Linked DNA regions of Oryzias latipes. The protein of the gene in region 1 interacts with the protein of each later gene in a pairwise test. Links are inferred from orthologs where the notes say so. Each region holds a gene or a part of one and is shown on either strand. Other genes may lie near its edges. The genes, in order: psmd5 and psmc2.

What was found.
Region 2: the proteins of psmd5 (region 1) and psmc2 interact in binary tests that used the Homo sapiens proteins (3 or more experiments, as listed by UniProt). The link is inferred for Oryzias latipes from reciprocal best matches to the Homo sapiens genes PSMD5 and PSMC2.

What each region holds. Positions count from the first base shown.
Region 1 is NC_019870.2:8,934,835-8,939,387, reverse strand, and holds the start of psmd5 (26S proteasome non-ATPase regulatory subunit 5), read left to right. Parts: upstream 1-1,527; 5' UTR 1,528-1,542; coding exon 1,543-1,775; intron 1,776-3,883; coding exon 3,884-4,028; intron 4,029-4,124; coding exon 4,125-4,238; intron 4,239-4,325; coding exon 4,326-4,454; intron 4,455-4,553. Other genes in the region: putative UDP-GlcNAc:betaGal beta-1,3-N-acetylglucosaminyltransferase LOC100288842, read right to left, coding at 1-722. UniProt on the Homo sapiens protein: Acts as a chaperone during the assembly of the 26S proteasome, specifically of the base subcomplex of the PA700/19S regulatory complex (RC).
Region 2 is NC_019881.2:9,541,594-9,546,120, forward strand, and holds the start of psmc2 (26S proteasome regulatory subunit 7), read right to left. Parts: upstream 3,016-4,527; 5' UTR 2,902-3,015; coding exon 2,832-2,901; intron 2,538-2,831; coding exon 2,500-2,537; intron 2,359-2,499; coding exon 2,277-2,358; intron 1,374-2,276; coding exon 1,274-1,373; intron 1,167-1,273; coding exon 1,035-1,166; intron 955-1,034; coding exon 882-954; intron 113-881; coding exon 17-112; intron 1-16. Other genes in the region: dnajc2 (dnaJ homolog subfamily C member 2), read left to right, coding at 3,344-3,404.

The DNA.
Region 1 (4,553 bases):
GGGGAGACACCAGCCTTCCGAGCACAGAGACCCACAAAAACATCAGCGGACACGGGCGCAAGGACCAATGCAGATGCCACATACACCTTCCGGACTACATCTTGGGACAGCACATAGGCGGTGTCATCGCAATATTCGGGCAGGTATTTGGCAGGGTACAGAGCGGGGGGCAGGTACCCGGGACTCTTAGGGTCCCTGTTAGGTTGGTCTTGTTGAATCACTCTGCCTAGGTACAGATCCTCTGGGTGTCTGTGTAGTCTGAGCAGGTAGCTGCCAAGAGCTGGAAGGTTGACAAACACAGATTCCTTGGTCAGCAGAACAAATCGTGCCAGGGGACAGAAGGAGATCACCCAGCGGAGAGCCAGCACGGTCCTCTCCTTTGAGCCATGGAGGGACCGCTCTGCTCCAGCATAAGCCTGGATTACATCTCCATAACGCTCAGATTCACTTAGGAGCTCCTGATGCGCAGCAGAAGTGTCAGACAGCGCTAAGAAAAAAAATGTCTTCACTGGAAAGCCTTCAATCAGGGTTTGGTTTGCCCATGTCTTCCTCACAGCGTCTCTTTGGGAGATGTTTCCTGCAGAGCTGAAGACCAAAGCGAGAAGAAAGAGGTCAGAGTTTCTGCAAGCCTCAGCGTTTGTTATAGGGTACTCAAAGGAAATGTTTTCCCTGGCATCGCTCAGGTCCAATTTCCTTGCTTTCTCCCTCACGCCAGTAACCATGGCATCAGTGTAAACCCCTGGCGTGGGCTGCAGGAGGTACTCCTCCACAAAATCTGCCCCGAACAGCAAGGCATGGAAGAGCAGTACGTTGAAAAGCAGGAAACACCACTGGTGGGTACGCAGCTTGAACAAACAGATCTAAAATTTTGAAATGAAACAGTTCTTCAAATTCAATTTCCTGAAAACGCTTTAAGCATCTGAAGACTCTTATGCTTACCCGCATTATTTGCTTCTTCAGTGTTAATCTGTAACACAGGTGAGACTGTGGTGAGCTGGAAAACAATAGTAGAGGATAGAGAGGGTTTTCCATGTCATAGAAACTCTAGAAGCTTGCAACTCTACACCTCATCAGCAGTACAGCTCCTACCTGAGTTTCTGCATCATGCACACAGAGGATGAAGAAACATTGTCTCTTACAAATGCTTGAATGAAAAATGTTCAAGTAATTGAACAATTCTTTAAAGATTAATTGACATTCTATATGTGGGGTAACTTTAAAATGACTGAGATTAGAAGCTGAAATAAAAATTGAAGACTGCGATATAAACATTGTTTTGTACTTGAAACAGACTGCGAGTGTTCGTCGCTGCATTGTTTTAGCTCCAAAATTGAAACATTATGGCTCATTTTAAGGGGTATTTACAAATATACAAATAGATTAAACCAAAATTCCTCAAGTAAAATAAAGTACAAGGGTTTTTTGTTGATAAAAAATCAAAATACATTACATGGTGTTAAAATCTGAGTGGTTGTTGTGTTGTCCTCCCTCCACCAGGTGGCGCTAATGGCTTAACACTCTTGTCGACTTTTTCGACTAACCATGACGAAGAAGAGGCGCAGGCGCACGCATATTCGAGAGACGGGTACGTCTCTGCCAGTCATGGCTGCTTTGATTCAAAGTTTGCTGGAAGAAATCTCCAGAATAGAAGATCCAGTTGAGGAGTTACAGAGCTTAAAAACGGCGCTGCTTTCTATATCTGTCAGTGCATTGAGAGACTCAGTGAGCGGACAACGTCTGGATGTAATATTTTCTCTGCTCAGCTCCAATGACAGGTTGGTTCGGTCCTGTGTTTACAATGTTAACAGAAACTGCCAAAACTGCTGCTAGCTAACTGCTGAGTCAGTCCGGCAGGCTTTGGCGTTTGTGTGGTGAATTGTAAATTAAAAAAGTAAACTACACATATATTTTTACAGTATGCTACTAGTTAGCATGCTTAGGCTAAATGTTTCTAAAGAGAGTTTTGTACTACTATACTCTTTTATTTTGTTCTCTTTTTACAAATAAAATAAACAGCATTAAAAATAGCCTTTTTTGGAAATAAAAAATCTCCCAGGTTTTTTTTAAGAAAAAAAAAACTTAATGAGGTTGATACCGTTTATTTTATGATGTAAACTAATTATCTACAGCTTTTGCTGCCGTAAAAATCTAAAGCAGTGTACGTTTTCTTTGTTTAATTCCTCAGATATAAGCTGCACGAGACACCCACTACATTTGCAAAATAAAAGAAAATTATTTCTTCACTTTAAACTTGTTTTCAAATAAAGATGTTAGCAACGTGAGAATTAAAGATAGAGAATGAAATGGAACATCCCAATTATTTCCGCTCACAGCATGATCTACAAATTGATGTTTGATTATCTGAAAAAATAATGTCAATACCAGCGGGCTTCATGTTTAAGTTTGCCTTTTTTTGTAGATGAAATTAAATGCTTTAAAAGCATTGTTTGAGCACAAAAAAATCCTTGTTTTTATTGTTTGTTTTAAAAAACAACAACTTTATTGTTAATTTAATGGATATATAATCTTTGTCTTCTTTCTTTTCCATTACTATCTTAGTTTCCTCTGTCACTTCAACTTTTCCTCTTTGTCAAGAAGAGAAATCTTTTTGAGTTTACCTGAGTTTTTACTTGAGTTTACATATAATTTCAGGATAACTTTGACCAAAAAAAAAAAAATCGTGGATAAAAATAAATGTGGCGGTAGTCTGGGTAGCTCGTTTGGTAAGGTGAGAGACTACCACGCAGGAATCCAGGGTTCGATTCCCGGAGGGGAATGAACAATGGTAATCAGGCAATTACCATATCAATGGCGAGCAATTCACATCACCCAGTGAGGGGCCTTGGGCAAGACCCTTAATGGGCAAGGCCCTTAACGCTACTGACTCCCGGGCGCGGTTCGACTGCAGCCCACCGCTCCCCCAGGGGATGGGTCAAATGCGGAGAAGAATTTCCCCATTGTGGGATAAATACAGTATCAGTTATTTACCAGCTCAGTGGCCTTGTGGTTAAAGTGTCCGCCCTGTAAGGGCCGAGTCTTACCAAAGACTTTAAAAATGGGACTCAATCCCTCCCTGCTTGACACTCAGCATTAAGGGGTTTGACTGGGGGGTTTAAGCCACCAAATGTTTCCGGAGCGCGGCTGTGTCTGCAGCTCACCGCTCCCCCAGGGGATGGCTCAAATGCGGAGAACAAATTTCCCACACCTAGGTGTGTGAAAGATAGACTAAGTATAATATATAAATTAACTGTTATTTGAGTTCTACAAGACAAAAAGTGAGGACTAACAGTGACTCAAAATTAGCTTTCAACCTAATTCACCTGAGTTGAACAAAAAGATGGAAAATAAATGTGAAAGTTTGTTATTTAGTGAAGTGAGGTTGTATTGAGTTGGGGTAAAACTGGAATAAGAGGAGGGACTACAGTAGGAGCAGTACAATCTGTCTCTCAGGTTGTTTTATCATCTGTCAGACAAGCCTAGTATAGAAAACGGACAAACTGAAAGCAGCAGGTCAAACGCATTTATGTGAAAATTAGCACAAACTTTTTCTTTGATCCTTAAGCATGTCATAAAGATGTTTGTTGTGTTTTGCTTTTCTTGAATTTTAGTTTTATGTGTTTTCCATTTTCTGTCCAATGTGACTTTTAAAAAAGCCTTGCCTACTTGTTACTTTCTACAATAAAAGCATTTCTGTGTGTGGAATTGCGCTTGCTGTTTCCTGAAAGAACTTTGAATTGACATCTGCTGCTCAGCAAAGTATTTGAAAGTTTTGTCCTGTTTTCTCGCTGTGATCTGTAAAGGACAAAGAGGAACTTAGTGTGGACTGTTGATCTTTGACAAGGCCCTCTGAATTTCGGCCACACTTTTTGATTTGTGTTTATAGGCAGCAAGTGGAGCTTTGTGTGGAGATTCTGGACCGGATCCTGATGGCCCTCAGCCCTCTTTATCTGGTCCAGAACTACAGGACAGAGCTGCAGGGAGGTTTGACCCATCCAAATGAAACCGTGAAGATTCTGGCTTTAACTCAGGTATATTTATGAGCTGTTTGTACCCAAACATTGCAGACAGCTTCCCATAATAAGTAAACACCACTTTTTTTGTTTTGTTTTTTGGTAATTCGTCAGATTGGCAGAATGGTGGATCATCCAGACGCCGCCACAGAAATCCTCAACAACGAGGACATTCTAAAAGCTGTTATCCTCTGCATCGGAGAGGAAAAGATGTCTGTGGCAAAACAGGTCAGCACTCAGCCTTTTAAAGGACCTCAGTGAGTTTTGGTTCGTCAACAGGGTTTTACTAAATGCCTTTTTTTCCCCCTCTTTTAGGCAATTAAATCTTTGTCTAAACTGAGTTACTCCAAACCTGGATTGGACAAATTATTCCACAGCGAACTTCTTAAAGTGATAAAACAAGTGATGGGTACAAGTGACATCATTCGATACCGAGTGTATGAGGTATGCTCACATTTCAACACATTTTCAGGTCAAAAAATACCTTTTCTTCGAAAATGTTAAATAATTATTACAATTAAATTTTAAAATAAGGGAAGGAAA
Region 2 (4,527 bases), on another chromosome or scaffold:
GATGCTGAAAACTCACATGGAGCAGTGGAGTTTCAACCACTTCTCTCAGCTTCTCAATCTGCTCCTTGCAGCCACCAACATCACTGTAGGTTACATCAGGCTTCTCTTCCACCTGCACCACAGAGTTAGCACAAACTAAGAAATGAGTCATTTTGCTTTGATCTTTAAGAAAAACCATGAATCTGTACACTTTTATCTGAAGACTAGCCTTGTTTACCAACAAAACACTTTTAAATCACTTTTTTTTAGGCTTTTGGAATTTCTTTCACACTTTTTATTTTGATTCGTTTTGACAAGGACAAAATCTTTACAAATAAGAAGAGCTTAGAATGTACCTATATATCAAGTCTATCTTATTTATGAAACAAACCACCTTGACAACAAAAATAAATTACATTTTGGATCAAACCATTTTTGTCACTCCGGTGGCTAGATTGAACATCTAGTGATTCATATTTTATTGATATAATTCTCATATGTAAATTTAACTAGTCCAACTGTTAGCTTTACGATAGCTGCAACAAGTGGCAAATGTGTTTAAAAAAAGATAGCTAACTGGCTTCTAATTTGCCATAACAAAAAGGATAGGTCACATGAGGGTGTGTCCAACTCTGGTGTTTATGCACTTTATGGCTTTGACCTAAGAACTTTTTCCTCTACTAAAGAACAGGTCATGAATTTTGAATATGATGTTAATTTTTCCAGAGGAGTGTTGGGAACAAGTTCATCAAAATATTTAGAAAAATATGTATAATATGGCCCAATGTTCTTTGCATTTTGTTCCATGTTTTGCATGCATTTCTGTTCAGCCACTCTGGGAACATGAATAAAACAACAATCAAGCGCACACATGTTTTTATCCAAACTCTGCCACTGCGTACCTGCATCATAGTTACAGTGGGGTCAATCTTGGGAGGTAAAGGAATATGGATCTGATACTTGTTCCTGTCAACCCTGCAACAACAAGTACAAATGTGTGCTAGAGACATATAAATCGGCTTGTGATTGACATGTCATGATCATATGAGACTCACCCAACTCTCATGCCTTCCTCAATGTCAGTTGGAGCCACCTGATCACTCAAATCCACCACAAACTTAGCAAACTGTTTGACATTGATGATATATTTAGGGTCTTCAGAGTCTGCGTTGATGATCTTAGTGCATCTAAAACACATTTATCATAAAGATTTTTAGAAGAGGAAGAAAGACTAAATGAAATTTTAAAAAAAGTGACACAGGGTCTTTAAAACTAAAAAGGCAGGCTGTTTTACCTTGCCACTTGTAAAGGCTGCTCACTCTGCAGAGTCTGTTTGTCAGCAGCCAGATCCCAAAGTGCCGGTGGAGCCAAGCCTGTGTCAGACTCTTTGATGCCTGACAAATTCAAAATCACAAATAAACTGCATGTTATGTTGCAAATATCATACAATGTTTTTATTGAGAGATCGTTCTCTTTCTTATTTTATTCCTCTAAATATTCTATCATTTTTATCTTAACTACTAGTTGAACATTTTGTGCGTCTATTAAACTTGTTTAATGTGTTTTAATATTATTGTTGGTATAAAGTTGACAAAGTCCATTTTTTGTCTAGGACTGGTGGAAACCTGTATCTACTGTTGTTTTTTATTAAATGAGACTTTAAAGTACAATAAACACAACAAATAAATAAACAAAATGATGTTCACAAATAAAGAACGAAATAAATGTTCATTTAAAAATTACAATGATTAATTAAACCATTAACAAATATTAATTATACACAGATAAGGCCCTGTGTAATTAACAGCACATGTTAGATGTTTTGGAGTTTAAGTCAGAGAGGTCAGACTGAGATGATTGGGACATGTCCAGAGGAGAGACAGTGAATTTGTTGGGAGAAGGATCCTGAGTCTAGAGATGACAGGCAAAAGGTTAAGAAGAAGATCAAAGAGAGGGTTTCAGGATGCAGGGAAGGAAGACATGAATGTAGCTGGTGTTAGAGGAGAGGATGCAGAAGACAGGGATGGACAGAGGAAGTTGGTTGGCTGTGGTCGAAAGGAAAAGAAGAAGAGGATATATCTTAACTGGATCATAAAATAAATCAAATGTAATCACTGGGTATATCTAATGAAATCGATGTAGTTTATTTCCTGTCCTAAATACCTTTTTATTTATTATGCCCTTTTTATTCTACTGAAAAATTGCACTGTAATTTTGTTGAACATGTACAATGACAATAAAGATATTTCAATATTTGGTAAAACACCTGGGAATGACCAGGTTCCATGTTCACCCACCTGTAAGCTCGTTGATCTTCTTGAGAAGCTGCTGAATGTCATCCTCTACCTGTTTGATCTGTCTGGAGTAGGTGCTTTGACCCTGGCAAAGCCACGACAAACTTTGGTCAATATTTGACGTTTAGAATAAAACTAAAAATAAATGAATAAAATTAAAATAAAATAATTTAAGAAAGAAAAAAAAAAACAACTCTGAAATTTGACCACTTTGAGAAAAACTTACGTATGTTTTGAGCAGTGCGATGTCGCCTTCATCCAAAGCTACCAGAAAAAAATAAAAAACAGGAATATGACTTCGCTATTTCAGCCGGCAGTTAGCATTGATTGCTACAACACTGGTCATCATGTTAAAAATAAGAAACATTTTTATCTGTTCACTATAAACACATTGTTTTTGATTAAAAATAAAAAATGGGCCATCATTGGAACAACCTAAAACTATTGCGTTGTTTTAAAATAGAGGAAAAAACGAGAGCTAAGAGACAATTAGCTTGTTTGTCGACATGACATCCGACAGTATTGTTGTTGAGATTATAATATTGGTTTTGTATAAACCTCGAATGGGTGCGTCATCTTTTTCTTCTTCCTTGGTTTTCCGTTGATCTTCTCCCAAATAATCAGGCATGTTTAAAGTTGATACAAACGAACGCTTTTGTCACGTATGCTGGGCTATTTCTACTGCCAGACCGAGCGATTACACAGCAACTTTACACTTCCGCCGCTACCCGGAAGTCCAGAAGGGACTCGAATTGATGGGACACTCTCTCTAAAAACAGTTTTCTCAAAAAGTCCTCGGTGTTTCGATCAATGTATATACTGCTAAAAAATAATTCCGCTATATAACGTTATTATTTGTATGTATGTATGAAAAAAGGGGCTACTCAAAGAAGTTGTGGCGGAACCAAAAAGGCGGAACTATAATAGCGACTCAGAAGTCACTGAGCTCCTTCGATTTGCGTGCACACCGGGAGGAGGCCCATGTGGTCCGTCAATGAGCGACCCTTAAACTTTAGCACTTCGGACTACTTTACCAACGCTGGGAAGTGTATGTTTGAGACGGTTATGTTATGAAGATGCTGCTAGAAGCAAAGAATACCGAGGAGACCGCGGTGCTAAAGGCGGTTGCCGGTAAGTAGTGGAGGCCGCCGGGTCGCAGCTAATATCATATCGGTCTTTATGGACCTACTCTTACGCAGTTGTTCAAAAAAGCTTAAGAAATCAAACAAATGTTTAAATTCTTAAACGTTGTGAGTTATAACGTTGGGATTATTATTTAGATGACTTGTTGGTGGCATGATCTGACAGTGCCACACAAATTCACGGGCTCTAAACATTGAAGGGGTAAGGGTAGAATTCCTAATCCAAGTTTCCATTCTCCTCTGAAGTAACACATTTTTAGCTAACCCAAAAATTTAAATGATTTTTAAAAAATTACAAATTCTAAAATGGTAAAGTCCCATATGGTATTAAAATGCTTATTATGTAAAGTACATCCTCTGTAAACCAGACTGCTGTGACCATATTAGCTGTAATAATATTAGCAAACCTTACTGATTCTGGAATAACACTTTTCACTAATGAACCACAGTTGGACTTGATACTGTAATCAGAATAACTTTTTTGACCTTGTTGTCACAATCGAATTGAAATATTTTACAACTAACTTTTTGGGAAAATAATAAGTTTGAAGTTAGAGATTAATCTCCAGTAAAAAGAGGCATTAGTGCACTTTTTTGAAGGACTGATGATGTAGTGTTTGATTACATTCTAATCTTTGTTATGCAGGATCACTAAATTACTATAAAAATTGCATGGTGGTGTAGTGGTTGGGGCTCTTTCCTCACAGCATGAATTTTCATGTCCTGAAACAGAACATCAATGGGGACCTTTCTGTGTTGAGTTTGCATGTTTTCCCCATGCATGCATGGGTTTTCTCCGGAGACCCTGGCTTCCTCCGACCGTCCAAAACATGGTTGATAGGTTAATTGAGGCAAGGGACTCTAAATTGTCCTTAGGTAGGAATGTGCATGGGTGCGTGATTTGTGGCCCTGCGACAGACGGGCAAACTTTCCAGGATGTCCCCTGCCCTCGCCCACGAGTGGCTGGGATAGGTTCCGGCAGCCACGTGACACCGTAAGGGACAAAACGGGTTCAGAAGATGAATGAAAGAATGGTATAGCCAAAATCTTGACCATTTGTCAACATGAAATGTAGAAAAACAGATCTGACATCAATGGGATTCAGGTGAGAA